Drosophila melanogaster: one gene and its partners. The protein of the gene in region 2 interacts with the protein of the main gene of each other region in a pairwise test. Each region holds a gene or a part of one and is shown on either strand. Other genes may lie near its edges.

Region 1 (8,050 bases), about 11 Mb from region 2:
GACTCAAAGACGGTGCGATAGGGCAGCTGAAGCACGTGGGCGCGGAGCTGTTCGTCGACATTCAGTAAGAAGGTGCCCTTCTGTTGCATCATGGACACGAGAGAGTAGTTCGACGGAGACGTGTAGAAGGGCATGGGCACCGTCTTCTCCGTCTTGAACTGACTGAGCCACTGACCCTTCAGATAGGCGGCGTTGGCCAGGACCAAACGAGTGCGCGGAGTGATTTCATCGGCACTGAGCATATTGCGGATTTGATCGTGCGTCTGCTTGGCAATCCAATCGTTGATTTGCTTGCGCGACTCCTCCGTCTGGCTCTTGAAGTCGATCTGCTGCACCTCCTCGGCCAGACGATTCCTTGCGCATTCGGTCACATGCAGATCATTGGCGAAGAATATGCGATCGGCTGAGGAGAACTCGAGAGGCATTTTGCTCTGCCGCTCCTTACGGTTCATCTTCTCCAGAATATAGGCACTGCGCACCACCTCCTTCGAGTCGGCCCAATCCAGATGCAGCACCTTGGCCAACTCCTTCTCCGTGTCACCAGAGGATCCGAAATAGGCGAGGAGCAGGGCATGATACGTGCTGTACGGCGAGAAGAAGACGTTCTCATTGGGAGTGCTCTGCCGAATCACGTTCAGCATGGACACGGCAAAGTTCTGTTGGCCCTTATAGAGGTTCAGCCGCTGATCCAACAAACCCGCATCGGGCTCAACCCCACAGAGACCGGCTAAGGCGATGGCCGGCAGGACCGCCATTAGAGATATGCTGAGGATGTGCATGATGTGGAAGCCTGCTAAAAATTGGAACATGATTTAAGTTAAAATAGCAATTATTTTAACGGCTGCAAGCACATGTGATTGAAATGGGTAACCGAAAAGCACAAGACCCCTAAATATGTGACCTTGTATACCATTTTATTTTTGAGTGTGTGATTTGTGTGGAATACGTGACCGGCATTGAATCCTGGTATAATTTCTCATCTAATTTATTAGACAACTAAGCATTTAAAGCGCACTCAGGCCAGAAAAATTTATGAATCTCCCAGAAATATTGACAAAATTCCCCAAAGTGATTTCTGTGTAAAGTCACTACTAATTATGGGAGTAGTTAAATTAGAACTGCAAGTCCCAGCTAATTACGTACTTAATATTCACTTAGTTTGCCAAACTTCAAGTCATTAGGGTTTTCTAGTTACATAAACCGACTACTGCAGAATTGTTGTAAACAATCACGAAATATTTTATAGACTTAGCTTAGATGATTTGTGATTGAAACTTTTTAGAAAATATAGAACCGATTTGAGGTCGTTAAAGATCGCTTTAGGCTGATTCACCAAAAAGCTTTTTCCAGTCCATGGAGTGGTCAGCTATTTGCAGACGACAGTTGCAACATCTCCGCAGAGGCGACATTAAAAAAAAGTGAAAGTTTCCGCTGCTCTGCACTCGAAATTCGCAATCCGAACATAATGTATCCATACATCAGCCATTCCCACATGCATCCATCGGAGCATGAAGGAGCGCCCACAGATCGGATCGGATCGGGGATCGGTTTGGGAGCTTGAGCTTTGTGATGACCATAGCTCCAGTTTTGCTTTCAGCAGCTGAGCGATGACGAAGTCATCCGTTGCGTGACTGCAGTGAAAAGCGCTTTGTTGTGTGAAAATAAAAAACCCAAAATTAACATTTTCGATAACCGGTTGCGGATACCACCGGCAGTTACCAATATACATAGTATATGATTCATAAACGTATTTCAACGCGTATGAATGCTCATTGTTGACCCTGTATGGGCGATTTTGTAATTGCTTTCGGCTGGGTCTTTTATTTTTTTTTTTTTACCCCATAGACGTAACGCTGTTTCTGCGCATGCGCGTCGTTTTTTGTGCGTTTTGCTGGGTTTTTTTTGGGCGAATCCAAAAAATATTGAACAACCAGTTTTTTGACTGACAGGTGGAAATGGACATGTCAGCCAAAATTAAGCTGCATTGAACTTGGATTAATTGCTTTGTCAAAAACACAAGCACTTCCTTTGAAATTTCTTAGTAAATAAATATAAGTAGAATTCAAATTTCTTGGACAAATGCGATTTACTTTTTAATCATGTCATATGAGTGACTAAGGCAAAATTATTTATTTTTGCACAACAAAATTAAATAAATATTTTCATTCCGATTTCAGTGTTTTCCCCGTTTTATTTATAAACGCAGAGCTATGTGTCACTCAAAACAATATTTTTCTTTAAAGTCATCAAGTGAAAAACCTATTAAATTGGAGGTCATTATGGGATCGCACTTCAGAGATCAATCAAATCAAGGCTATAGTGGCAAAAAGTTATAAACAGCGAAAATACACTGGCCCATTTAAAATGCGTGCCTGATATATGTACATATGTATGTATATTCAAATCCCTATATGCGTAAACATATATCTACGTATGTATGTGTAATTGTGCAATCATTTGCATGCTGATTAGTGTTACAATAATAGACAACGCTTTAATTTCAACCCGATTCGTTCGCTTAATGATCGTCACAATTGCCGGGGAGTTGAACAAATTGGGACAGACACAACTGGATGATCACTGGGAAATACCTTCTTCGAGTAAACGTAGGCTTAAGTGGCACCGATATACAACTATTACTTGGAACGACTGCAAGTCCGTTCACCAGCGCGTCTAACTATAAACTGAGTCCGGTGCTCCAAAGTAGCTTGGTACTTAAAACCCAAAGCGCAGCTTGGATATCGATATCCGATGATTGTCACTCAGAAAGTCAAGATGTGGGTTGCTTCAACGGGTTTGCGTTTCGTGCAAAAGTTGTTACTTAAACTGCGATACAAATGTTGTGACTTGGATATGAGCTTTTGAGAGTTGTATGGAAATTTAAAAGTATTACCTTTCAATAAGCTAGCTTATATCGAAATTAATAAATGAAAATAACAGTTGGTGCATTATAGAGCATATTTTTCTTCAAGTTTTTCAAAAACACACAAGTCTTAAAACACTTCTAGTGCTGCATTTGCCTGGGATCGCTGTAGACGCCCGCAAAGAGAATCGTGTCTACCTTTTCATCATAGATAAGAAACACGAACGGGTGGTTGCAGTTGAATTTGGTGGGATCGGGCTGCCTGCTGGATCGGCTGACCAAGAGGATGGTGGCCGCTGCCGCAGTGCTGCCCACTTCGTCCACTTTGATCTTGGCCAGATGTTGGGCGTCATCGATGACAAGGGAAATGGGATCGGCAGTCAGGTCTCCAAAGGTGGCGTTTCTCGTGAACATTGTGTTCACTCCCATTAAGCTGAGGATCTGAAAAGGTAACAGCTTACGTGTTAGTGCGACTCAAGTGGTCCAGTTAGGTCATAGCTTACAGGGGTCAGTTCCAGGCGCTGCTCAAACTGGAACTTGGGCAGCGACAACTCGATCTTCTGCGGCAATGCCCGTTCGAACCATTTCTTAACGGAATCGGCATTTAGCCGGGATATGACACGGTTAAGACTGATTTTGTTGGAGTTCGGCAGAATGATAATCATGGAGATATCGGATTTGGACTCGGGGGTGGAAATGTGCGTCTCCTTCGACTTGTATATGGTGCGGTAGGGCAGCTTGATGATCTGCGATTGCAAGCCCTCATCGATGGTCATCTTGAAGGCGCCCGTCTTGTGCATCATGTAAACCATTTCCTGCTCACGCTCGTTAATGAAGAATGGCTTCAAGGCGGTCTCCTCCACCTTGAACTGGCTGAGCCACTGGCCCTTCATGTAGGCGGCGTTGGCCAGCACCAACATGGTGTGGGGTGTGATCTCCTCGGAGCTGAGCATGTCGCGGATCTGGTTGTGCGTCTTATCGGCTATCCAGTCGTTAATTTCCTTTAGGCCAGTCTCCGGATCATTCTTGAAATCCAATTCTTTGGTTGCCCCGTAGAGTAAAGTGTTGAATTTGTTGGAAACATTTATTGTCCTGTCGACGAAAATTCTGTTCGCAGACGAGAGCTCCATGGGACTTTGGCGCCAACGAAATTCGTCCTGCCTCTGTGCCAACGTGTACGAAACTAGGACCTGCTGTTTGTTTAATGCCCATCCCAGGTTCAGTGCCTGGGCCAGCTCACGTTCCGTCTGCTCGGAGGAACTGAAGTAGGCGAGGAGCAGGGCGTTGTAGGTGCTGAACGGCGAGAAGAACAGATTGCCGCTGGGATATATCTCTCGGATCTGTTTCATTAATGCTAAGGAGAAGTCTCGTTCTCCCTTGAAAATTTGTGAGAATTCATTTAGAAATGATAGCTCCGGCTTGTCCAAGGCAGCTATGGTTACTACGGGAAGGAGGGCCAACAGGACCAAACTGAAGGTGTGCATAGTTGGTACTGTCTAAAAATTTAAGGACATTCATTAAGTATGAACTATAAAGAATTTATGAACTAGAACTAATAAATAGTGAAGGATGTGATATTATTTCTCACAATGTGAATTTTTCCAAAGAAAAAACATGAATCATTAAATAATCTTGGCCTCATAACATTATAGTTTATTGTTCATATGTATGTATATTGTGGGATTTTGCCAGAGATAGTGTTGGAATCCTTAATCGACTTTGTGGCACATCCAAATTTTGTCGGACTATTAAAAATGAGCTTTTTACAATAGGATTTTAAATATAAACATTGACACGAGCCCAACTGAGACAAGTTTCTCAGAACCATTAAAAAAATCTCTTTCTTCACATTTCCTAGAATTCTGTATTTCTTGTATTCATCATAATTCTTATAACATATATATTTATATATATATATATATTATATAGTATATTTATACTGATAAGAAACTTTCATGTGCCGGAGTATGTGTTTAAATCGATTGCAAACATAAATTATTATGTATAGTCGTTATTGATACAAGCGTATGAAATATTTATTTTAAAAGAATCTTGGGTTTTACCTTAACGGAATTTTGCACAGAACTTAAATCAAAACGGAAACAATGGTGGTCCAACCGATTGCACTTACAATCACTGACTAATGCATGTGGCAATAAACGGCAGAGCTAGGCTTAAAAATAATGAGAATAATGCGATAAGCGGGCGAAATCGCAGCTGATCCTCGAATTTAAATTGATAACGTACTGTTCCGTCACTGAAATAAGACGGTTTTTCTAAACAGTGATTTAAAGTAAGAATTGGTTTCCTAATTGGAGTTCTGCTAAATTTACCATGTTTAAATAATATTATCTCATTTTTCTATATTTATTAAATTTATTTAGTTGATTACTGCAAAAAGAAATAATTTTTGATTCGTACAGAAATATATATTATCTACTCAGTTTTGTTTTTAAGCGATAGCTTTTTTCAAGTTTTATGTTCTGCTGAACGGGACCATTCGCGGTACTGAAAAAGAGTGACTGCCACTGTGACTGCTAAACGATAACCGCTAAAGCTTGGTTCACCACTAGAATTCCGCACTTGACAACACTGGCAGCCACCACCGTGATTGAATAGTCGCGAATTGACAACAAAATTACGCGATAAACAAACCGAATTTGGCACCCGCTCACCGAAATGAGTGCATCGACGAGCACGTCGACGGCGGCGTCCCAGGACGCCTGCTACATATCGCTCCTTGGCCTGGCGGAGTACTTCCGCACCTCGCAGCCGCCGAACATCAAGAAATGCATCCAGTGTCTTCAAGCCCTGTTCACATTTATGCCGCCCTCGAAGGTCGAGGCGCGGACACATTTGCAGATGGGCCAGATCCTGATGGCCTACACTAAGAACATCGATCTGGCGCGCCAGCATTTGGAGAAGGCGTGGAGCATATCCGAACCGCTGCCCAATTTCGACGTTAAGTTCGACACCGCCTCGCTGCTGGCCCAACTGCATCTGCAGACGGACAGAAACTCGCATCAGGCCAAGGCGATGCTCCGGCGGGCCGTGGAACTGTCGCAAAACAACGTCTATTGGCACTGCAAGCTGCTGCTCCAGCTGGCCCAAATACATGCCAGCGATCGCGAGTACTCGCTGGCCTCCGAACTGCTGGCCGTGGGCGCGGAAAGTGCCGACGAGGCGAGCGCCACGTACCTGAAAGTGCTCTTCCTGCTCTCGCGCGCCATGATCCTTATGATCGAGCGCAAGACCAACGACGTGCTCGCCCTGCTCAACTCCGCCGGCCAAATCATTGACAACAACATACCCAATCCACACCAGAAGGAGTACCTGAAGGTGTTTTTCCTGGTGCTACAGGTGTGCTACTACCTGGCCCTCGGGCAGGTAAAAACGGTGAAGCCTAGTCTCAAACAGCTGCAGATGTCCATACAAACGATAATGGCGCCAAATTGGCCTTCGGATGAGGCGATTTTCGGGGCAAATCAACTCGAGATGTTTGTGTGGCTGCCCAAGGAGCAGCTGTACGTCCTGGTCTATCTGGTCACTGTCTCCCACTCAATGATGGCGGGCTACATGGACAAAGCACAAAAGTACACGGAAAAAGCACTCACCCAGATCGAAAAACTTAAGCAACAGGAGGACAAACCCATTCTATCCGTATTCAAGGTGATTCTGCTGGAGCACATTGTGATGTGCCGCATGGTGATGGGCAACCGGGAACTGGCTATCCGGGAAATAGCAGCCGCGAGAGACGTTTGCATGGCCGCTCCGCAACGCAGCCTGCTACGGCGACACTCGGCTCAGCTGCACTGCCTCATCGGGCTCTACTCCATGTCCACCAACCTCTTTGAGCATGCGGAGAGGCAGTTCGTCGTGTGCGTGAGTGAGACCAGCGAGCGAGACCTGAAACTGTTTGCCAACCTCAACCTGGCGATCATTTATCTGCGCACCAAGCGGGACACGGACCTCAAGCAAATCCTGGATGCCGTCTCAACGGAAAACACGCACACGTATAGCAGTCAAGCGCTGATGGGAGGCTTCTACTACGTCCAGGGACTGCATGCTTTTCACAAAAATAGCTTCCACGAGGCGAAGTTAGTCACCTTAAGCCAAGACTCTAGAATGTAAACTGATAATCTTTATTCTTTTCAGACGCTTTCTGCGTGAAACTCTGAAAATGGCCAACGCCGAAGACCTCAACCGACTGACCAGCTGCTCGTTGGTTTTGCTATCGCACGTCTTTCTCAGCATCGGAAACTCAAAGGAAAGCATGAACATGGTGACGCCGGCCATGCAACTGGCCAGTAAGATACCCGACATCCACGTCCAGCTGTGGGGATCGGCAATACTAAAGGACCTGCATCGTATGTCAAAGGATGTGCAGCATGAAAAAGATGCTTATGCTAACCACGTTAAATACTCGGAGAACCTGATTGCAGACCAGCGCAAGTGCGTCCAAAGTGCGCATCACGAACTCGTCAACTGGTTCCAGGGCGATCCGCCAGTGACGAGTGGTCCGCCGGCTGCTCCCGTCCTGCTCATGCCAGAGTCCTCCGTTACAGCCTCAGTCCCCGTCATCGCCTCCACATCGACAGCCATGCAGCCGGCGGGGCAATACGGTCAGTTCTACTAGCAATGAGATGATTATGCAATGTAACTTTAAGCTTTTATTTTTATCTACGACCTAGCGACTAAGTTAAGACTAAAGATGTTCTAAAGTTGTGAATTTTGTCATAAACTGTGTTCCCGAGGGAAAGAGTAGACGGAAATGTAAAGCGGATGAGTTGTGCGCATTTGAGTTGGGTCGTTCAACTTAGGATTATAATCATTATTACAATTAAAAGTAAGGATCCGTCTTGGGTATTAGGCAAACTCAACCACCTTTACAAAAGCCGCCTTGCTTGCACAGCTTCTACATTGATTTATAGCATAAGCGCAGACTCGGTCATCTCGTTAAGTTCCTCTTCAAGGGCCCCGCTTCCGTTTTCCTTGTTGCTTAGAAATGTGAAGTGCACCAGGCGTTTGTCGTGCTGCTCGTGGCCGGCCAGATGTGATCGCATCTCGGGCATCGACTTGAACTCCTCATTGCACACCGGACAAATGTAGATCCGCTCGCCCTGATGTGTACGCTGGTGCATCTGGCAGTCACCCCGCTGCGTAAAGGTCTTCGAGCAGAAGGGACAG
Region 2 (8,701 bases):
AGAAAGCTAATGCCATGGTGATCGATTTAGCCACAGAAAAGAGTCTGCAGACGCAGCACTCAGAGCGCCTGCAGAAGCAAATACAGCAGCTGCAGAAGCTACTGCGTGCTCTACAGCTGGAGAGGACAACACTGCACAAGTGCCTGCGGGATCACGAGATCGAAATACCCGCCCTGCCGCAGTTGCCTCCTGAACCAGAGCCAGTAAACGTCAAGCCAGTTAGTGCTGAAAATGTTAAAATGGAAATGATGTCTCGCAATTGTGCGGAACTGAAGCAAACATTGGCAAATCTGCAGAACCAAATGAAGCTGCTAACGACGAATGAATCGAAGACTTCCATTGAGGAAAAGAAGAAGGCCGAGGAGCAGCGTCAGGCGAACAATGCCAAGAAGAATATACGCAAGAAGGAGAAAAAGTCCAAGGCAAAGGCAGCAGCTGCAGCGGCGGCGGAAGCTGCAGCATCCACAACGAACGGTGAGGCGAACGGCGTTCAGGAATCAGCCGCAACGGAGTCAAAGGCCGAGCTAGAGGCAGCGGGTGATGCCTCAAACGTTAAGAACGAAAAGGAGCAGACCGTTGACATTGCGACAGACACCCAGGAGCTCGTAGGTGATGGCGACGCTATCACCGCAAAGTCACTTGTTGATATATCCGAAGTGCCTCCCCTAATCGATGCCAATGCCAACTAAACTACTGACTGTTCGCCTATAGTCCCATCTCCAAATCTCGGGCGGCCACCAAGCCTTCCCTGCAAAGCATTTTGTGTCATCCATGTCTCAACTGAAAAACGTCATCAATTACAAACCTACATGGTCCGAATTTTGTACTAGTTATTTATTGTACTTTGTATATTGTATTTATTTAAAGGATGTCGTCGGTGATCGTGTATTGCTGTTCAACAACAAATTGAGTAAAACGTGTTTCCTGCAAACAGAATAAGAATATTAAAATTATTTCTTTGGGTAAATATTTGCAGAATGTCCTTCCAAAAGATTTAAGCATAAATCTTAGCCCACATTTCGCATCAATTTGCATAAGTGGAGTGGAATGGGAAACTGCCAGAGCGCACAAGCTCGATGGCCATGGATTGCTTTCGTCATTGTTGGCGACGCCACAAAGTCTAGTGTTGCATGCAACACATTGCAATGCCAACAGGCGAACGGATGGGGGTGGCTTCAACGGTGGTGATGAGTGGTGAGTGCCTGCGGTTCGTGGCCAGGGTCATTATAATTGCGCCTTAATTATTTTCAACACGCAGCTGTCATTTTTGCCGGGCCCCAGATTTCCGCCATCAAATATTTAAGACGCATGCAACGTGGCGTATGCGTAACGCCAACTGCTGCCAGCGGTCACTCGGTGCGGGCGAGGGTGTTGAAATAAGGCCAGTTAAGTCACTAAAATAATTACACAAATTAATTTAAATTGCATAAAGAGGTGCATACGAAAGAAGGACTAATTATGCCAGCTCTCAAGGCAACAACTGTTTTTACCCCTTTTTTCACAGCATGTTTTATGTACTGTACCCTATATTGTTAGGTCCCCGAGCGTTCTTCCATGGTCATTAGAAATTTAATTAAAAATTTTGATATTGTTAGGAGTATAGGGAATTCTATTTATTTCAAGCTTCTTCCGCCCGATTGCCCATTAAGCGGTATTAAAACTGTCTTCCCCTCGGTGCCAAAGTGTCATACTTGTGCATATTTCACACCCTCGCTCGCATTCACAGAAATGTGTGCACATTTCGCAGGCAATGAGCTTTTGAACATTTAATGAGTTAATACGCTAAATTTGAAAGCCGCTCAAGCGTGCGCCAAGTGCTTCAAACACTTGTCCCCATCCCCGAGCTGCCCATTTTCCAGCTTGAATAATGAGAATGGGGGTATCAAGCCGCTAAATCCAGCACTGAAAAATTTTTCATCAACTTAATAGAAATGTGTTTATTTTTTAATAATATACATTTAGTTTGTAAGATATGTGAAATAAAATAATTTCGAGTTATTTATGAGAATTATATACGAATAAAAGATCAAAAAAATAAAACTAAATTTTTCTCAGTGTACGCACACACGCATATGCAAAACACTAAGCACTTGTCATTTGGCTGTAAACCCTACGCGTCCGTTCGTTGGTATAAAAAAAACAGTGCAAATGTCCAACAGACGAGCATATGTACATACATATGTACACTATAGGTATGTGCGATGTATGTACATATGTACATATGTGCGAAATGGAGGATTGGTTGGCTGTCGTGGCGTCGTATTCATCCTGAACTCATGGGTGTCATTTCTCAGGACCCTCGCGGTCTGCAGGATAACAGCAGCGTAACAGAAGAAGACCCTCACTGGGGACCAGGACCAGAAAAGTAGAGGCTGCCAGACTGCCTCACTTTTGGCGTTCAAGTGAAAGGACGAAGTCGCCGACACTGGTGTGGCAATACTTTTGGCAGCCAATTGTGCGGGCTGAGCAAGATGAATGAGGAATATGAGTGTTGCTTGCACAGTGGGCTACTTTCAAGGGTGTTGGAAGATTCATAACTATCTTAAAGATGCTTTCAGCAGTACTTCTTATGTGCGAGATATAAATTCAACAATTTCTAGATTTTGTAAATAAATATTTCCTTCTCTTATCCAAAATCATTTATAATAAAATAATAATTATTTTATTATAATATACAATATAATAATAGTTGTCATGAATTTAAATGTCACAAACAGGCTGTCTTTCATTAGTAACATATTTTAAAAATTACTCATACGCCACGTTGTCAGTCAAGTAAATATATTTGCCATTTAAAACAGCTCTTCCAATATTATTACAATTCAAACTAATTATATGCGTTATGTGGCTACTTAGTCCACTGTAACCGCCGAGGGCTATGCTATACCCTATGTGCCGCCCGCAACCCAAGTGAGTGCGCACCCACTCTCCGGCGAACTCGCTCTCCGTCTCCGGCGGAGTGGCTCCGGATATTTCGGCAACAGAAGCCTGGCTGCGATAGCCGGAGATTTTCCGAGCGAGGGAAAACCGAATGCCGAAGCGTCGCTGCTGGCAAACATTTTCCATTTTCGCAGTCCTGTAATCAGTTGTGTATAGGACACTCGCGTGCGCGCGTCGAACGGTTTCTGGCTTTATTTGTGGGAAAAGTGTGTGTCTGACGGCGAAACGGTAAACGGGGAAAACGCTGCGCGGTTTTTGCTGCTATCGAGTTCTTCTTTTGCTGGATTTTATATATGGAAACGATTGTTGCTGCTGTATCATTGCAGCTTGCAGCTTTAAATTTAACTTAAATGCTAAAACATCGTTTTGAAAAGCAACGCGAGAGTTAGACAAACAAGTTGGAGGAAATTTTCCAGCTACAGCTACAGCTGCTGCCTCAGCCAGCGTCGCAGTCGCTGTTCGAGATAAAGGATATGCCCGGATCTAAAAGATACAGTTTTTCCTCTTGTTTCTTTTTCCGCTGCTGCTGCTCGTGCTACATTTGCTGCTTGGCATTTTCCGCACAGCAACAACAATCGTTGAGACAGGACCGCAAGTTTTGCTAAAATGTAACATAACACCAAATAAGCAGAGTTAGGAAGAGTGAGCGCCAAATAATGCAAATAAATGAATAAGCCCAAATCATTAACAAATTAAAACGAGGCACGCAAAGGAGGGCAGGAAAATATAAATATCGAAAGGAGTCAAGTCAAGTGCTTTCGAGGAGCTGTTTGCTGACATGCTTTGAGGTTAATACCACCCACCACCACCCAACCGCCCACTACCACCCATCTCAACCATCAGCCATCACCAACTCCTCCTACCTCCCTCATCTCCGTTTTGGCCAATTTCTCCGTCTGCTTTCGCCGCTTTCTTCGTCAACGCCGCTGCTGCCGCCGCCGCCGCCGCTGCTGCCGTCACCATCAAAAGGCATCGAAGGTAAATATATATGTTATATTTTAGCCGAGTGTGTGTATATAAGTCAATGGGCCAACAAACTAACCTACAAAGTAAACAAAAGCGTTACGCTACAAATGCAAATTTTTCGCACACATGCTCAAGAACTATAAACAACAACTCATTTAACTGACGCCATGCCCCCATAAAAAAACCAAAAACAACGCAGCTTAAGACTAGAAATGAAAAAAAAAAAATGGAAAACAAACAGTGAAAAGGTGGAAATGGCACGGCAAATGAAACACAACAAAGCAAAACGCACGCTTCTAAAGCTATTTGTATAAAATTTTAATCGCATGCGATTTATTTGACTAGGCGCCAAAGTCGCACGCACGCACACCATCGCATTTTCGCAGAGGCACCCACACACACACACACGCAGGCTAGTGAAAATTCACACACTCACCTTGAAAAATGCGAAAAAACAGTCTGGAATATTTTGTTTATTTTTCGCAAAATTATGGAAAATATTTATGGGCTCTATTTGAAGTTTGAGCTGTGCCAGGTTTTTCATTCAATAATTGAGGAAAATAATGAAAATGTTTAAAAAACGCATCAAAGAGTATTTTTGTGAGATTATATTTAAAATTGGATGTGAGGCTTCGATTTACTATTGAAATGTTAATTTTCATATTTATTTAAACAAATAAGAATCTGTGTTTGAAGACGCACCTGGCTGCAATTGTTTACTGTTTACGGCACTGTGAAAATATATTAAATTGTTCATACATATTTTTAACTTTTGGCAGAAGTGTCGACAACTTGTTTATAATTTTCCAAAATAGTGAAGCTTTACATATGTTATTTTTTAGCATTGCGGTAATATATGGGTGAGAATCGAATATACTAACATATTCCTTGAGTATACGATTTGTTTGTTTTATTTTCTTTAACAATATTACAAAATGAATTATTCCCAGAAGTGGTAAAACTCTTTTTACATGGCGTTTAAATTGCGTCATTAAAAATTCCCATTATTCAACCCAATTTCCGTGTCATTTAATCCGTGACAAGCTGTTAAAAGGAAACAAACAAACAAAAGTTGTGCGCAACAATTGATAAGCAACAAAAGCAACTATCGTGCCGCTTGGCAATAAACCATAAAATAAATGCCAATTCCATTTAGATGCACAAGCCGATTAAAAAGTCAACTTGGCATAGTTTTCCAACTCGTGCGACATTGATTCGTGATTGATTTGGTCATATTGTAATCTAATTTCACCGATTTGAAAAGTAACTTCAAGTAGTGTAAATCACATTATGTAATTAATCAAATATATGGAGATTTAATATATATATTTTAAGCGATTTTACACGACAAGGTCCTTGCCAAACTAAATTCGCTGTCATCTATTTATATAATCCCTGGCCAACTATTTTAAGTGCTTCTAGCCGAGAAAAGCTGCATCTGCATCCTAAGAATAAAATGAACTTGGTCGCGGGAAGCTGGATGAAAAACACTTAACGCGCAACTAAGCGACAATTGTTGTTTTGTGTGGCATTTAAAAATAGAATCAAGGTGCGCTCTAGTTTCATTCATCCACACACAGAGACATCCCCACTCACACACACGGCGCACACACAGATACAGGTACAGAGCCTACATAAAAGTGGCTGCTGTTGTTTTGCAAGTGGGTGAATGCGGGGCAAAGGGGCGGTCGCCGGGATGTATGCTACACGAAACTGTAAATAGAAAAGTTATAAATAAAATTCACACGAGCCAACATTGAAAAAATGAACTTGGAAACTGTAAAAAATAAAATAAAATATAATAAAAACCTGGTGAGTGGACGCCATATAATGGCTGATCATTCAAATATTCAATTATTGGAATGAGCATCGATGACAGCACACAAAATAAATATTGGTAGATGATATATGTTAAATTTAAACATTTTGTGCAGCACATCTGGGCACTATTACTTACCGGTTAAAGGTCAAAACACCTTGGCCTTGGCCAAAAGGAAACTCTAAGGAAAACGCAAAGACACGCAAGGCAATACCAAACGAGAACCGCAGCTGTGAGCTGCAAAGTGATTCAACGCTTTTCGGCTATAAAGTGCCTAATCACTTTGGGTGTTAGATGTGTGGGCCATTCAATGACACTGGTAATTACTGGCCCAATCGAATGATATTGTCTTGGCCTAAGTGAGTAATGAGCAAAGGGCGTGACAATCGCCAAACGTCCAGACCTCGTTGAATAATTAAGCCTGTTCAAACGAACTGACTTTCAGTTAAGTAACTTGCACCAAAGGCCACACAAGTATCAAGTTACCAAAGAATATTATAATAAAATACCAAAAGTGTTGTTCGCATTTAACTTTTTTTAAGTGAAACCATACATTTGCGTTAAATATTATTGTGTTATATTTTCTTCGTACATAATATAACCACGAACCATTTAAAGGGCTTTAAATATGTATATGTAAGCATTTTATGCCACCAAAGGCAACCGCAAGCCATTCCCAGCGTGAACATCAATTTGCTAGCATTTGGCGACCATTAATGGTCAACTTATCGTGGAAAAAAATACTCCTCCTCCCATGGTTAAAGCCATAAAACATGCGTGTGCAGGCATCGGGTGTGCTACATACACACATATGCAACAGCTAGGAAAAAAAGGAATCGTTTAGCTTTCAAACAGCAACAAACTTGAAATTTATATAGCCAACCGCCAGATGTGTCTATAAAACTTGCACATCCCCATTCATCCCATACGAACATTCATTTTACGGAGGTTTTTCCAATTTTTTTCTTTCTTTGTTTCCCTCTTATATTTTTATCACCAGCTGATAAGAGCAAAGTTTGTCCGAAAGTTAGCGCCTGTAGCCGTAACACACATACGCCATGTGTTACAAACATCCGATGGAAAGCAAGAAAGAAAAGAACGAAACGAAACGAAATTACCCGCAATTTCAGAAAAGTTAAATGTCTTTGCAGCCGAGCATTTTGGTAACATTTTTTAATTGCCCCACTGGGGGATGGGCGGAAATCCACATTTACAAGCGAACATATGTTGGTAACATGCAATTAACAAGCCAAGTCCAAGCACTCTGCTGATGAGTAGATAGCTCGTGCAGGTCTCGACTATCACATACCCGGTATTTCTCTATCTATAAAAACAAAATGATTCCATTCTTGAAACAAATCTTTTTTTCGTATAACCATACTATAATAAACATTCCTTCCATAGTTAAATCATACACTAGGTTTTTTGAAGTAGCCTATTAAAAAGAGTGGCAACAACTATGCTCAGCCACCCACGCGGACCACTTACAGGCATTAATTACTATGTCGGGCCTGCCAAGTCAGCAACGAGCCACGAAAAGTTGAAGGACCAACTGGAAAAAAATATTGCATACTTTTCGGAATTTTCCCCCCAATTTGGGCAGTTTCCACGCTTTTCACTTTCTCTCTCTGTTTTCTGACAAGTTGTATGAGTTGCGAGAGTTGAATGTTTCTTTTTATTGCCATTGCCATTGTTTTTGTTGCTCTTGTGGCCCGTTGTTCTTGTTTTTGGCAACATTTTTATATTATTTGGTCGGTATATTGTTCTTGTAGATTTTCATGTCCATGGCGAACAACAAATGTTGAGGAAGAAGAAAAAAAGTTTGTTATGTAGTGGATTTTTCGCAGAACAACGTTAAGTTGAGAAAACAAATTCCCAAATATGTAATTGGTTTTTGAGTGCGGCGGGTAACTATAGTTCTGAATATTCGTAATGTTTTAAGAGTTGGCAAGTAGAAGTATCTAAAAATGAATCACAAAAATTTCGACTACTTTTTGACAAGTTTAACGGATATAAGGAGACAAATTATGCCACTTCTAAGCAATTATGTTGTGTAAGCCAATTTAACTTGTTTCGATCGAATTTGACTTGTCCTTGGCGGAAATAAATTAAGTCAGCTCATAAATTAAACCAATCCTGGCAAGACTCGCGGCTCATACACCCACGCAGCAATAAGTTCATGAACATATCTCGGCATATTTATAGCTTTGCCAAAGCCCGCTAAGCTTTTGCCATTTTGGCCAAGAAAAGGGCACAGCCACAGACCGAATGATTGTCTGCAAGTTGGCGCATATCGCCGAACCGGAAGTTCCGGGGGCCAACAGGGTTAGCGGGTGGAAATATCCTCGAATATCCGTGGCTCTCTTTACAGATCTGTGTGTGTGTGCGCGCCGATGTAACGACTTATTGTTCAGAATTTCGCACAGTTGAATACCAAATTGTGAATACCCAACTACTCCCCATTTTGAAGTCGTTGCAACTATTTTGGCAGTTTCCTTACAAGGCTTTTTGTTGGCCTGGCCAACAATGAAGTCAGTTTCTTGTTGGCCATTGCCAAAAATAACTGCATTTTCTGGACGAGGGAGTTAGTAAAACTTTCCCCATACCCGGAAGTGCAGCGTGGAAACTTTTTTATTGCTTGCCTGCCAGTTTGCATAGAAGTCTCTAAAATTTCTGCTTGCTGCCATAGATTGCATTTTTAGTAAGTCCTAACGGCTGCCAAATTAATGAATACTGATTGCACCAGAGATTGTCAGTAACAAGCTTCCGCCATCACAATTTCCCTCAACCCTCAGAATCTAGACATGTGTGTATCCTGAGCTGATTGCCATCTAATGCTCGACTGAATCCAAGTGGCCCTAACACTCGAAATGTATACAGTTCATGGTTAAGTTTATCATTCCAGCCGACTTTAAGTGCAGGAATTGCTCATCTGTGATTGCTACTCTATTTTGGATGAGACCACTTCAGCTTCAG
Region 3 (7,258 bases), on a different chromosome or scaffold from region 2:
CCGAATTGCTAATAGTAGTTTGGGCTTCGGGTCGGACTGAAACCAGTTGAGATCCTGCCGTGGACAGCAAGGATTAACCCGAATCAAATGTTCTTCAGGGGTAGGAAATGATAAAAGCTGTTTCTTATAAACTGTAAATAAATGTGGTTAGGAAATGAGAGTTTTGGAATCTTTTCCCATCATTTCTAATATAGTGGTGATTAAATTATGTTTCTTTATATTTCGAAGAATTCTTGGCAATTAAATGTATATATTAATATCTATGTTTATAATTTTGTCTACCTTTCGACAAAACACGTACAGTGCCTTTTTGTTCCCCTGAAATTATCCACAATTAATATTAAAACGTGAGCAAATTGGGCTCATAAATTTGGCAGCTTACAAAAAAAGTTGAAACGGCAGACATTTCATTTGAATTTATATTTATTTTTAGCACTCAATTAGCTGGAGACATTGATTAAAGACGAAAGTGGTTCCCCCAAAACCGAACATTCCACCGTCGTGGATCACTGAGAATGGAGAGAGGGAGAGAGGGGGAAAGGGGGCCACCTGCAAAAGTCACATCCTTCGGTTAAGGATGCCACTTCGAGGACCGTTAAACGCGGCACTTGACAGGCGACCGTCTGTGTGAAAGTATCTCGTATCCTGGCATCCTTTGTTTTTTATGCTCGCCGCTCGAAAGACAAAGCGTGTATGAAATATGCACCGCAGGGAAGAAACACCGAATGTGAAAGGGAAATGGAAAGGGAAAGGGAAGGACATCAAAATGGAATATCCTGCATACGCAGCCTGTTGTGGAATGAATATCTGCTGCCATTTACGAGCTCAACTCGAATGGCCTGCAGTGATTCCAGCCCGTCCGCCCACCGCACATACTACGTGTTATCTGTCGGAAAGCGCTGTAATGCACAAATTAAATTTATAAATATGCATAATAATTTTTAATAACGTTTCACAGGGCGAGTCTGTCACTTGCAGCGCCGGCTTTTTGCCAACGAAATTGACTTCCTGCGGCAATTCGATTTATCCCAGACTGAGGTGTGGAATTTCGTGTGGATTTTTCACGTTTTACAAGTCATTGTTAAGGTAATGTTAAAGATAATCCGTCGCTTAGTTTAACTGGAGATAAATTTATCTGATACATAGCAATTGTGATGGATTTAGTTACCTTCATATATTATCACATAATTTTATAAGCAATTAAAATCGCTAGTAACTAGTAAGAGTAACGATTCTTAAATATATTTGTCTTACCTCTATATCATTTGCAAAGCTATGTTACTGAGTATAATGCGAATATGAATATAATACGAATTTAGCGCCTTTCTATGCGATTCTCAAAATAGCACCTAAGCAGTAGGCATTGGCACAGCAACAAGCGAATAACGATCAAGGTTTAGAAGTTTGAATTCCTGCTGGCTCCATCAAATGACATATAAACTGTCATCTAAAAAATTGTTTTAGCAAATCGATTTCGCAAATATGTTTGTCTTTTTGTTAAGCAGCATTTCCCATCACCGGCGTCACTTTAGCCCAAACACCCCAGAAGTGCCCACTCCACATGTCATGCTTGTCCCTACTTCATGGTTTTGTTATTCCTTTGCTCACAACACAAATGTCCTTCCGGGCGAGCACTCAAAACGAATGTAGCCGCTTGTTGCTCGGCTTGTTGCTCCCGTTGGCAGATTCCGGATTCCGGATTCCTGATTTCTGATTTGTGCCGCTGTCCTCCCAATTTAATATGCAATAAGCGGGCTGTCAGAGGCAGCTCGGTCCAAACCCTTCGTTTGCCATTCCCCGGGGGCCATTCGGACCTAAAATAAACATGCGTATAATGTTGGTAGGGCCTTATCATATTTGGACAGATGTTGGAATGTAATTGAGATTGCCTGCCGTTTCGATACGCATGCCCGGAACTGTGCAGCGGCAAAAAGTGCAAAGATTTTAATTGAATTTCGCACAATTGATTTCATAATTTAAAAACGAAGAAACGAGAAGAGGATCCGGATGCGAACGCCAGCAGAAATTGGCCAGTGAAGAGTGAGTGTGTAAAAATGACGAGCTGGTCATTATCTGCGCTTTTCCGTCAAAGTAATTTAACTTGAGTGAGCACTTAATGCTGCTCCTCTGTGTGGAACATTTTCCGGAACGTACTCCATCCTTCATTTCCATTGAGTTGAGTTAACGCGCAAGTGCATTAATTAAGATCCAAAGGCGTCCATGGCAACCGAGTGGCAGAATCAGTGGGCGTGGCAGGATGCGGGACGAGCATTAATATAAAATCCTTCAACGATTTTCATATCGTAGAGGGGGGGGGGGGTGGCATCAAAGGGGAGCAGCTGCCAGCTATGCCAGTTGGGCATAAATTCAGCTAATTGACGACTCACATATAAAAGCCCTTTTATTGACACTAAACAAGGCTGAAATGTACATACAAGTAAGCCAACTGACTGCGCAGCTCAAACCCACTCAGTGCGTATACGTAATGTTATGTTTGCTTTTGCCACAGGTTTGTAGCCCATAAGCCTGTTGACTTTAATTATATAAATACATAAGACCTTGCAACTATTCTGGGAATCAAGTCCTTGCTGGGGATTTATTGTGCAATCGAGCAATTTCTTAGTGTGTATTTACTTGATTCATGCTGCCATGTATAAAGATTTACTTAATTAACTCAAAAATTTGCATATTTCAATGAGGTGAAGAAAATAAATTTAAAAAAGGAAGAAGGGGATACATTACAAAAACTTATCTACTTTTTGTTGAACCTTTTAATCGCATTACTCTTCTTTTCCACTGCGCATTAAATATGCATTAATTATTAATAATCAATCAGGTGAAACTACATTTTCCAGGAATTTACAACTTTTCACCGCTATCTATAATAATGCATTAAACAATTTTTTAGTGTACTGTTCGAAAATTGTATTTTATTTAGACCAATTAAAAAACATCAACAACAATTAAAAGGTGGAACAAAACGTTAGCAAATCGCTGGCAAATTGAGAAATTTAAAATCTGTAACGCCTGATGGCACGATACTGGTAGCCATCGCTGCCCAGGACGGCACTCTCGCCTCCAGCTGGACCCTCCACGATGACCTCCTCGCCGCCGATCGGAGGCAGATACTCGGGAGCGGCCTCCCTCAGCTCGGCGGGCATCTCGGCCGGCTGCTGGTAGTGGTAGCCATCCTGGAGCAGTTGCCCAGAAACGGTGGGCACATCCACCACACGGACATCGGCTGGCTCCTCGGGTGCAGCCGCCTCGGTGGTTTCCTCAGCGGCTGGTGCAGCTTCCGTGGGCGGAAGGTACTCCCGGTTCACCTTGGGCTCGGCGGCGGACACCACCTCCTCGGTGTCATCGGCAGGTGGAGCTGCAGCTGCCGGAGCCTCGGGTGCAGCCTGCGCCTCCTGAGCAGGTGGCAAGTAGGCGGTGCTGGGTGGCAGATACTGCCTGGCTGGCTGCAAATGGGACACATCACGACGGTTGCGATGGCGCAGCTTAAGGCGGCGCACCGTGCGGTACTCGTAGCCCTCATCGCCCAGGACAGTGGCCTCCGGATCGGCTTCCAGGGCAGCAGGATCGGCATGAGCCTCAGCCTCCACAGGCTCAGCGTTCAGGAGGACAGCCTCGGTGACCGAAGGAGGCAGATATTCCACTGCAGCGGGATCCACCAGTTCCGAGACATCGCGGCGCAGCCGAGATTCCAATTGAGGAGCACCTAGGGCCACACTGGCCACAGCGGAGAGGGTAAGGACACCACCAAGCGAGAAGATTTTCTGGAAAATAAGTATTAGTTAGTGGAAGTATTTTCATGGGCTTGTTGAATTTTATTTTGCATTCTTTATTTAAGCCAAAATCCATTTTAAATTCCTCCTTTCCAAGTAGAATTTTGATCAATTTATTTGATTTGTTTAGCGACTTTACTTAATCCTTTGCAGCAAACTCAAATCCTTGAGGACTTACCATTTTTCAAGTTTGCCTTTTCGGGTTTACGATTTGCGTCTTGCAATTGAAAGTTGCCTGAGCTGATTGATGATTTGCTAATGGCCAACTGCTCAATATATAGCCAAAAGCGAGTTCGGCCATAATTAGAGAAACCAAAAACAAAAAGGCCAGTAACAAATGGAGCCACTTCAGAGTGGAGTGCTCTTCTTGGGTGCTTCGTCTTGCCTCAGTTTTGCTTTGGACAATGTCAAGTGGTCCAGGTTTTGGACCTCGTTCGTCGACTTGACCTTTAGGCACCGCATTTTTATTTCAATTATTTTCATAACGTTTTTTCTTCGAGCTGTAAATATATATTTTTTGAGGTGTTAATTCACAGGCCTGTCGAATTGTGCGGAAGTACTCTTTGAGAGTCTTCTATTCTATTTTCTCATCATATTTGGATCGCTTTTTGCACAGCTAATTGCCTGGCGGTGAATAATTAAGTTAATTTTAATGCGTATTACATGGAAAATGGGCGCAACCAACCCAGCTGTCACAGCCAATGAAATTGTCATCAGAACTTGTTGCGAAAATTATTTATTGCTTTCATTTTCGACCATGTATTTGCGTTTGTTAACCAAACACCGAGGGTCATTTAATAGGCATAAACATAATTGTGCATATTACATTTACCAAATTCAATTGCGGTCTTTATGCCGAAAAAAAAATTGATGAGCTCGCAAACACTCTTTGTTACTTTTATCTATAAAAAGCAACTACTTTGATATGTAAATGTATCAATCAATCATCCATCCATATAGCAATACTAATTTACGTACTTATTGTTATTTAAATTAAATGCCAGTCATTATTTGGTGATACCTTTTACGCAACTGTAACCCATGTTTACATTTACCTATATATATATATTAACCACATCTGAAAGCCAATTTCGCTGTCCTGTCAGCCAAGCATAAATTTGCCCTACTTAGCCTGGCGTTTAATTTTTCTGGTGGCATTTAATGAATTGTTAATGAACGAGTGCGACCCGTGCCATCGTATATATGGTTATAAGTTGGTAAGAGATTTGTACTCCCACGGCGGGATAAACCCACACCACCGTGCTGCATGTGGCACATAAATCATTCCCTGGTTGTCGGCCTAAAAGGCGGCAACAATTTCCGTTGGCTCTTAAAGTTTCCGCCGCAACGCAATAATTCTTGCCACACCGATCGACCCGTAAAAAGAAGACCAACTTGTTGCTTAGCCAAGTTTAAAGTGTCGAAGGAGGAGGCCCAGCTTTTCTTGCCCAGCTTCTTTGCATAAAAACCACTCATGTGTAATATTTTATGTTTGCAGGACGAGTGCGGTGGTGTATTTGCCGACTTTTTTGCCTTGCCATGTGGGGGAAATAATTTATAGCGAAACCCGGCATAGGCAGAAAAAAAAACCCAGAAACATGCAGATGGCATATAGGATATGTTGAGACATAAATTGTGCGGGGCTCATTGATTTCAGTCTGTGTGTGTTTGATTTCGATTCTATACATATGTAAAACTTTGTCTATTTGCCTCTTGCCTGTTTGTTTCACAGTCAATTTGCATGTTGGGTCAATGAAACGAACCATTGAGGACTTTAAGCTAGGGATGGCAGGGATATCGATGGATAGGACAACTTATGTCTTGAAAGCATTGTAAAATATAAACGGCAATCGAATGAAGGTGAGGGGTTCTCCACTTTTATTTACTTCGGTTAAGTAAACATACATATTTTAGTGAAATGTTAAAGATGGCATATAAAAAAGCCTTTAATATAACTATGACAAGAATATCGATGGATGAGAGCACTTATTTCTTGAAAACGTTGAAAATATATTGTTTTCCATTTTCATTCCATTTTCCATTAATATGAATATAGTGTCTGAAATGTTATGATAAATATATTTAATTGAGCTATTTGTATGTATGCAAAATTCATTAAGTCGAAAAATGTGTTGTCCCACTACACTTTAATATACTGTTACTTAAAGAAAATTGTGAATAAGTTCATATAGCCTTTATTGTGATAGTGATATCCTATTAAACCTGATATTTTTGATAAGACATTCCTTATCCGGACCATTAGACGTTAAAGCTGCTGTAAGGTCCTGCACTTGAGTGGAAATCGTCGCTGTAAGCCAGGCAGGTGGAAATGGGTTTGGCAAAGGGGTTGGAAAAGAGGCTGTAAAAGCAGCCCGCGGCTCCCACGGCAGCCAACTTGAGAATGTTTGCTAAGGTCCACGAAAAGGACAGACCCCAGTCGAAAATAGAGAACACTTGAGTGGCAGCCAAGAGGAGTGGAAGTCCTGGCTCCAGTTTGTCTTTAGTTTATGCAAATTCAAGGACTTCTAGGCGCCGTCGGCCACCGCTCGGCTGGCATTAAGTTAAAATATTTATAAAATTTAAATGGGCGCGGCATCACGTAAAAAATCAGAAGGGAAAAAAGCGGCAGGTTTGCAAAAAAAAAGGGTTCTTCCACCGTCAAGCCTATCGATTTACAAATTTAAATTACTTTCTTTTCTTCGCCGTTGCGTGCTTCCTTTTTTTTATCGTGACTCGTTGATGCTGGCAAATCTCAACATGGAAATCCTTTTTTTGTTAACAAATTCGCCTGCATGTTGCCAACCAACCAGGCGGCATCCGTCTTCTTCGCTGCGGACAGGCATTCGCAATCATTTAATTTTACATTTGCGTTGACGTTGCTTCAATTAATTGGACTATAAATCCAAGTCACTCATTCTGTGGCTTGTGACAGTTTAATTGAATTCGGTCCTGCGAACTGCCATGTCCTTAGCCCTAATCATCGATTGGGTTGGCCAAAAATCTGTTGTTAATGGCAACAGCTTGGGGCAGGTAATTAAGCCACGGTTCCACATGTTAGCTCTTACATGTGTCTCAGTTGGTCCACTGACTGCCATTGGGATGTACAATATGATGTGCCCGAAAAGTCGCTTTCGGCTGTCAGAGTTGTTGAAAAATTGATGAACTGCAGCCGCTGGAAACTTGAAATCGTGGGCGTGAGTATCTGTTGAGCTTCAAGAGCTGTACTAATGATAAATCCAACGGTGAGTGCTACTCAAGCTTTGTCTTTAAAGTTGGTTTGTCACCAGTAAACAGGGAAATTGAAAATCATACTTTTGGGAACTCTTTAAACAGATTTTAAATCCCCAGAAAATTTGAGGTTTCACTAAACAACTTTTAGTATCTTCAAATGTGTAATAATTTAAATGAAATAAAATATGCAAGCACTCCAAATATGAAAATTTAAGATATATGTTCATTATTTAGAAATG
Region 4 (7,770 bases), on a different chromosome or scaffold from region 2:
AATGCCGTAGCTGGCAAAGAATCCGTAGGACTCGCGACGGTGGACCTCCTCCAGGATTTGCTCGTAGCTGGGCACCGGGATGCCCATGTCCAGGTCGAGCAGCGTTTTGGCCAGCCGCGCGTGGTATGTGCGCAGCAGCTGGGTCCGCCGATGACGCAGCACTTCCAATGTCAGGCTAGTGTAGAAGAAATAGTTGAGGTCGATGCCCGGACTACCCCACACGCTCAACTGGAAGTCGATGAGGATGAGGTCCTGCGGACGCTGTGCTCCGTCGTACTTGAACAGCATATTGTTCACCCACAGGTCACCGTGATTGAGTACCTTCACCTCCTTTTCCTGCGGTGCCTGGCTGCGTTCCAAGTTGGCCCGCTGATTTTGCATGTACTTGCCGATCTTCTCGGCGATCTTTTCGAAGCCGGGCCACGTGCTCACCAGGTGATGCAACTCCTTGCCATTGCCCGAGAAGAACTGCATCAGTAGTCCATCGTCTTTGGCTAAGCCCCTCGGCGATAGCATTCCGTCGCCATATGCATCGAAGATGTGCGGATCCTGGCCAAATCGAATCAATTCCATAAAGTTTCACCATTGTACTCATTTTATAAATGAAATACTTACCACCACAGCCAAGGCCATCGAAGTGGCATGAAACTCCGCCAAGCGCTCCATGACAAGCTGACAATGCTCCTCGTTCAGTCCCAACTCGCGCGAAGCCATCACGAAGCCCTTCTCCGCCAGATCTTCGAACACAAGGGAGTTCTCCGGCTGTTTTAGGTAGTGATAAAGTCTTTGCAAGAATAAGGATATAGGTTAAACCACAGTACGTTGAGAATAATTTGTCTATGTCACATTACGATGTAACAGTGCGTATGAGTAATATGGGATTAAGTAGTTTGATGAGTAATGAGCAATTTAAGGCCGGCTTTGAGACTTTTTGAGACTCACTTAGGTCCGAATCTCCGGTTGCACTGCATCAAGAGCTCTAGCCGCGGTAGCACTTCGTAATAGGTGATCTTCTCCTTGAGGTAAACTTGCAGGTCATCAATGAACTCCACCGAGTCCAGGTGGGGAATGCTCTTCACAATAAACGCCATGTGCTGCTCCGGATGATCGGGGCGCTTAAACGAAACCTTCACTCTGTAGATTTGACTGCAGTAGTTCTCGCCCGTGCTGCTGCCCATCCGGATGTGAATGGAGAGCAGCTGCACCCTGGCTGTTCGCAGAGCTGTCTCCAGCACCTCCTCGAAGAAGGGCACGTCCAGGTGGCTGGGTGGAGCAACCACGTCCGCGTCGAACACAATGCTACACATCTTGGGATCGTTTGAAAAGTGGCTACCAGGCGGTGCTCAATTTATATACGTGTCGCTATGATCTTGCCCAGCTGAATCCGGCGGCGCAATTAATTATAGTTATGTGTATCCAGTTATGTGTAGTATTATACTTTCAGTTATATATAGACTTTAATAGACGACAACGAGATGTCTAATTTTTCGATATTTGTAAAACACGCAACGCGGAGACGTCGACCTTTTTAGGCGCATTTAACTAGTAATTTGACTTCCTGTTTTGAACTCTGCCGACAATATTCAGTTTGAATATTTTTCGAATTCTGCTGGATGAATTCCACTTGCAGCGATTGGCAGCTCATTATCTTATCAAGTTTTGATTCGAATTTGCATTAATCCAACGAGTTTCTGATAAGGGAACGCTTTCAGTCAAGTGTCAATCCGAAGCTAATTATATGCGAACGCTTCTTAAATATATTATATTTGTACGTAATCGTTTATATTAAATCTGTTTGGCATGATTACATTCAATATCTTACCTTAAAGGTAATATGATTAGGCCATATATCGCACTAAACACAAGGTTTAGATGATATTATTAAGATGGCTACTATCCTCCTACATTTTAGGTGATGGGTATTATAAAAAGAATATACCTCATTCGGTACTTTATATATGCAACCTGTTGTATAAAAGCTATAGCTTTAATAAACACATTAGACAGAAGATAACACTATTCTACTTTTTTTTATAAGTTGACCTAATGATAGAGCCCTAATAAAATAATCCCAGACTGCAGAAACTAAGTGACTGAGAATGTTTGAAGGAAACAACCATGAAATCATCAAATTCTGAATGCACGTGATCGCTAAGGGTATTATTATCTAATACCTACGTGGTTATTCAAGATGATTGTAAGCTTTATAAGAAATGCGTAATATATACTGTGTAATTTATTAATTCAAGCTCAAGCTGACTGTGCTTCCATAAGGTTTCCAAACTCAATCGTTTTTATGGTTACTTCGGATCTCGAAACCTACAACCCGAAATGTAACCATATATGTATAAGTCCCTGATTCGATTGCGTCAATGTGATCTTATCTTAATATTTTCTCATTCTCAGGCATCAGAAATCAGCGTACACTCATAGAATAAGTGGTATACTTAAGCGACTATGAATTGAAAACATAAGTGGTTATGTGTTGTGCAAGCCCCTGAAAATTGTCTGATACCATATTCCTGAAATCTGAATAAAAAATACATTTCGTTAGTTTGATTTATTGCATTGAAGTCAGGTTTGGTACTTTAATCAATCCAAAACATTTACATTCTCAGGCCGAAAGCTAATATAGCTATATCAAGGATGTGTGCCTTGGAAGAGCCTCCATTTATATCACAGAACCCCAACCATTATAATACTCATGCCACTTTTCAGTAGTCCCCGAAGACGCCAAGTGAATCAGCTCGCTTCAGAGCCCACTTTTGGTGGTCGTTCAGGAACTTTTGCGAGAAGATGGCATCCATCTTGCGCTGCTTGAAGGCCTCGTCCTGCATGTTCTCAATGCTGTTGTCCTGGGCCAGCTCCTTGGGCATGGTGATCATGGGCAGGAAGGCGAACATGCCGAAAAGTCCGTAGGTTTCGCGGCTGCGCAGCTCGTACTGCAGATCCTCATAGCTGGGAATGTCCTCGAAGCGGGCGTACTCCAGAGCATCCTTGAAGGATGCATAGTACACCTTGATGAGCTCCTCGCGGCGCTCCTGCAGCAATTGCAGCTTGATGCTGGTGTTCAGGAAGAAGTTCAGATCGCAGGCCGGACTGCCATAGAAGCTGAGTTGGAAGTCCACGAAGATGGCACGCGTGGGAACGTCCGGCTGTGAAGCGTTATCGTATCCGTACATGAAGTTATTGGTCCACAAATCCCCGTGGTTGAGCACCACGTAGCGATCACCCTTCCTCGGCCTGGGCGCATCCGCACACACGTTCCGGAAGTTGTCCATAAGGCGCTGCAAGTGCTTGCTAATCTTCTCGTAGCCGGCCCAGCTCGCTGAGCTCTTGATGAGGCCCTTGAGGAAGCCGCCGAACATTTGCTCGAAGGTGTCGCTCTTCATCAGGATGTCCTCGCTGAGCATGCCACGCGTGTATTGCTTCACAATAGCGGGATCCTGTGGAATTGCAAAAAGGAAGTCATTACGAAGTTCGAGGATTCTCCAGAGTCATCACTGCTACCTTCTTGGCCAGCACCATGGAGGTGGCATGGAACTTTCCCAGTTGCTGAAGAATGAGTGAGGCGTGGTTCCAGTCCAGGCCTTTTTCACGCGAGGCCACCTTGAATCCCTCTACCGTGAGGTCACTGAACACGATCGTTTGCACCGGAGTCTTCACAGAGTGATAGTATCTGATGTGAGATAGAGATGCTAGTAAGCACTGTGTGCCTTTATCCAAAACTTTCATTAACTTACTTTGCTCCGAATGTGTCGCCACGGCTGAGGATATCCAATCGCGGCAAGACATCAGTGTAGGTCTGCTTCTCCTTGATGAACACACAGACATCCTCCAGAAACTGAGTGGCTTCGGTGATCGGAATGGTCTTCACAATTAGCGAAAGCTGCTCCGTCACCGGGGATTCCCCACCGTCGGCCCATCTAGCGAACGAGACTCCGACACGATAGATAGCCGAGCAATAGTTGTCCCCCGGATTGCTGCCCCACGCAAAATTGATCTCCTTCAGGGTCACCTTCGACTCCCGCAAACCCTCCTCCAGGGTCTCTGTGAAGAAGTGCTCGTTGAGATACTCGGGCACCGAGATATTCTGCTCGTTCTTAATGACCACCATTTCGAATCTCTAACTAAAGCGATACACCTCCGATCGAAACCTTAACGCTTGCCTTTCGTAGCCAACTGATTTTGCGGCCTCGTAGAACTCAGCGTTTTATATTTGCTTGCAATAGTGTTAGTTTTTTTGGGAAATGTTTATACGACAATTCCGAGCTTTTCGTATGACTGTGGTGTCATCGTAAAAATAAACTAATTAGGTGGTAAAAGGTATAGTGGGTCGAATATGAATTGAATTTATATTCTAGTTCTATTTAAATATAAAAGTCGTCTACAAAATATGTATTGGGGCTCTTTAAAGTTTCACTTAAAATAATCTGTTATATATTTCTTTATTAAATTTTACAATGTTGTGCTTCCTAAGCCATACCCTTGTGCAATATCTATAGCTATCTATTTTTTGTGACATTTTCTTACTTACTTTCTTAAATTTTTACTTACTTACATATCAACTGCGACCCACTGTTTGCCTCGAGCTTTCTAAGAGCCAAAAGTCTCAGTCTAGTGTCTAACTCTATGCGTTTTGCATAGTCATCCACATCCAACGAAATACACTAGCTTGTGGGTTGATGAAACCCTAATTAATTTTTAGCTCTTGTTTTCGTTTTGTTTTGATAGCAGCAACCTGTTGAACAAAGTCATTCGACCACGTCATAGGTGCTCTATGGAGAGATTGAGATTCGATTCGGCTGATAGTTCGGATTGACAACAGGCGGTGCTTCGCTGCTGGAACACCGCCCGTCAGTGGGTCAACAGACGTGGTATTTGCTCCGGGTGTTATCAACTCTGCTTGAGGCATCCGTATCGGAATATACAATTCTAGAATCATTTAAACGTGCCGTCCATCTCATATATACACGTGTATTTTTTACTCACGGTGATGATAGTGTTAAACATCAACGGGTTCAGGGAAGGATTTGGACAGCGCGGGGGATTTGGACCAGATTTATATAATCACCTAGTTTCTCACTTAGTTCTATTAGTATTTTCTTTGTATGATGATTAACGCAAATTCTCATCAAGTTAACCAACTCATTTAGGAATTAACATAAAATAAATAAAATGCTGCTTTTTTCTTAAAAATCAATAATTGTTTGATAGTTGGTGCCTGCAAATCGAAGCTAATCCGCTCCTGACCGTAGGTAATGAATATTGCCTCAGTAGTAAAAGCCCAGCCCATCCAACTTATCACGCACACGCTAACAATAGATTAAATCATTTCCACAGAGCTTTTGCGTTATCACACTCAGTAATTTCGGTGTGGCACAAAATAATTTAAAACACTAGAAAAAATATTTTAAAACCAAACGGAATCATAGCATTTTAAATTAATTTAAATGAATATTTTATTCGCTCACTCGATTCACTTGCCAATAACATGCTTTTGAGCAAATGTTATGCGGTGCCAGTTTTGAAAGTTCGCCTTCTGCTGTTGCGCCTTCTCAGCCTTCAGTTGCATAATGTAGTTCTCCATCAGCTGACTGGGCGTGGTTTGTTGAAAGTTCAAAGTGGGCGTGGGCACGGTTACGCCCAGATCCATCTGCCGTCGAGCCTTCCACCTTCGACGCAGTCCATCCAGCCCAAAGGCCGGCACCTCAATGCACAGGAAATAGGCCAGTTCCATGCCACTAATTAGGGAGCAGCCAAGAAAAAGACCGGCAATTCCTCCAAAGCTAACTGGTGGAAAAATCCTGATTATTTATTAATTAGCTATGTCTCTTAATACATAGTTTGTGGAACAAATTACGGGATTATAGAAGCTATTTGATTTCGTACTGACCCATTAAGTCCACCCAGCCGAAGACGAGGCTGGTGCGATAGACCATAATGGTCTCGAAGCGAAAGTGCACATCCAGGTCCACATAGGAGTTGTTTGCGTACACATCCGGTGGCAGGAAGGCGGGCCGGACATCGCTGATGTAGTTGAGGGAGTAGCAGTTGCGGAAGCACTTGCAGGACATTCCCTGAAATTGGTTGCGAACGAACTCCTTCTCGCCGGGATTGTGGGAGTAGATGAGCAGGTCTGCGGGTGAGGGATACTGGTTTTATAAGGTCTTCTTTGGTGAGCCTGGACTCCTACTAACCATTGTGCTCAGCGAGGCACAGCAAATCCTGCGCCCGACACGATCGATATTGACCTGGTCAGAGAAACCAATGAATCGATCATTTGGTAACGATTTTGATAACGTGCTCACCCGGTGGAAACAGTAGGTCCATTGTGCAGTTGCAATAGCGCACCAAGTACTCCTGATGGCACTCGGACTGACAGTTTTCAATCATGTAAACGTATCCTTGCAGCGACTTGAAATCCTTGCTGTTGTGCTCATCCTTGAGGCATCCAAAGTGCAGGATTAGAAATAGCCTTGGTGGGTATTAACAAGATAACCACTCACATCGAAGACGCACTGGCGCTGGTCGGAGCGAACTCCCCGGGTGTCGTTGTCATAGAAGTAGATGACGGGTTCGATCTCCATGGTCGTCTCCGTGTTCGCGGCCACGAAGAACGGATTGTTGTGCCACACAAATGGCTCGGTAACCATGACATCGATGCCCTTCATGGCATTCGTCTCCCTGTGCCCCGGCCAGTGCTTCGCGGGCTGGATGAGAACACGCACGGAGAGGGCGCTCATGGGACCCGCCGACCCAGTACGCCAGGGCCACATGGGATCGAGCAGCTGCATCCGCCTGCCCTCTTCCGTCTCCAGCGAGTTGAAAGCCCAGCACAAGCCGTTCTTGCTGCGCCGCTTCGAGAAGATCTCGCAGCAGTCGTAGGCATGGTGGCGCCACAGGCATTCCGCGAGCAGCTCGTTGCAGCGCCAGGTCATAAAATCCACCACCTGGCTGAAATTGACATAGTTGAGCAGCTCCGTTGGCTGGTTGCGCAATCGCTCGAAGGACTGAAAGTGACCGAAGTAAGCATCGTCGTAGGTGCCCACAATCAGCTCGAAGAGCTCCTGCTGGGCGGAGTTGCTGCCGTTGGCCAGGAATCTTGACTTCGCCTCCGCCAGGCGTTGCCAGTTGAGGCGATTCCGGTTGCAGATCGTTATGACCGGAAATGGTATGCGGTAAACCGGAAACCGCGTGCTATCCACCACCGTCTGGAAGTGGGCGGCGTTGTAGCGGGCGGAGAGAATCAGGCAAACGTACACCGCGCCCAGGAAGGCACTCACAAAGGTGCACAGCCAGACGAATCGCTCCCATCGACTGGCCTTGGCACTAAGCAGCCTGTCCAGGCCGTGGATAGTGGTCCGTTTGCCAAAGCGCAGGGCCAGCTGCCAGGAGGATTGGGCCAACTGTTGGGCCAGGCGACTGGATCTCGATGGCTGCTGCTGCTGCTGAAGCTTTGAAGGAGGAAAGTAAACCAGTGTCATGTCGGCACAGGACTCACTGAGTCTGGTCGCAAGGAATGCCAGGTTTTTATACCGTCCATGTGCCGTGAACGGAATGCGTGCTGAAATGCAGTGGTAATTAGATGCCGTTTAGCGCGTTGACAAGCCACAAAATGCGGCTGACATGCCGACCCCTTATTAGACTGACCCGGCTGTCACCCAAAGGTCGAGTCAATCGATTGCCTACTCCCAGGAGATCTAACCTGATTCGCAGCCAATGGTCATGGTTTAGGCTAATGAGCATCGAAATAAATTCAATTGAATG

The links.
Region 1: the proteins of CG5890 (region 2) and Spn88Eb interact in a two-hybrid assay, tested with the Drosophila melanogaster proteins (one large-scale study listed by BioGRID).
Region 3: the proteins of CG5890 (region 2) and CG4229 interact in a two-hybrid assay, tested with the Drosophila melanogaster proteins (one large-scale study listed by BioGRID).
Region 4: the proteins of CG5890 (region 2) and CG9498 interact in a two-hybrid assay, tested with the Drosophila melanogaster proteins (one large-scale study listed by BioGRID).

The regions. Positions count from the first base shown.
Region 1 is NT_033777.3:15,203,758-15,211,807, forward strand, and holds Spn88Eb (serpin 88Eb), read right to left. Parts: upstream 5,006-8,050; 5' UTR 4,927-5,005; intron 4,360-4,926; 5' UTR 4,348-4,359; coding exon 3,367-4,347; intron 3,305-3,366; coding exon 3,005-3,304; 3' UTR 2,946-3,004; downstream 1-2,945. Other genes in the region: Spn88Ea (serpin 88Ea), read right to left, coding at 1-779; Mau2 sister chromatid cohesion factor, read left to right, coding at 5,543-6,960, 7,019-7,499; CG6654 (uncharacterized protein), read right to left, coding at 7,789-8,050.
Region 2 is NT_033777.3:25,853,056-25,861,756, forward strand, and holds the start of CG5890 (uncharacterized protein), read left to right. Parts: upstream 1-3,098; 5' UTR 3,099-3,918; intron 3,919-8,701. Other genes in the region: CG5886 (uncharacterized protein), read left to right, coding at 1-689.
Region 3 is NT_037436.4:16,553,607-16,560,864, reverse strand, and holds CG4229 (uncharacterized protein), read right to left. Parts: upstream 4,043-7,258; 5' UTR 3,970-4,042; coding exon 3,967-3,969; intron 3,780-3,966; coding exon 3,012-3,779; 3' UTR 2,907-3,011; downstream 1-2,906.
Region 4 is NT_033779.5:6,346,845-6,354,614, forward strand, and holds CG9498 (uncharacterized protein), read right to left. Parts: upstream 4,191-7,770; 5' UTR 4,118-4,190; coding exon 3,744-4,117; intron 3,680-3,743; coding exon 3,511-3,679; intron 3,447-3,510; coding exon 2,715-3,446; 3' UTR 2,549-2,714; downstream 1-2,548. Other genes in the region: CG9497 (uncharacterized protein), read right to left, coding at 1-549, 616-784, 943-1,307; ppk7 (pickpocket 7), read right to left, coding at 5,480-5,793, 5,897-6,139, 6,201-6,254, 6,312-6,444, 6,510-7,487.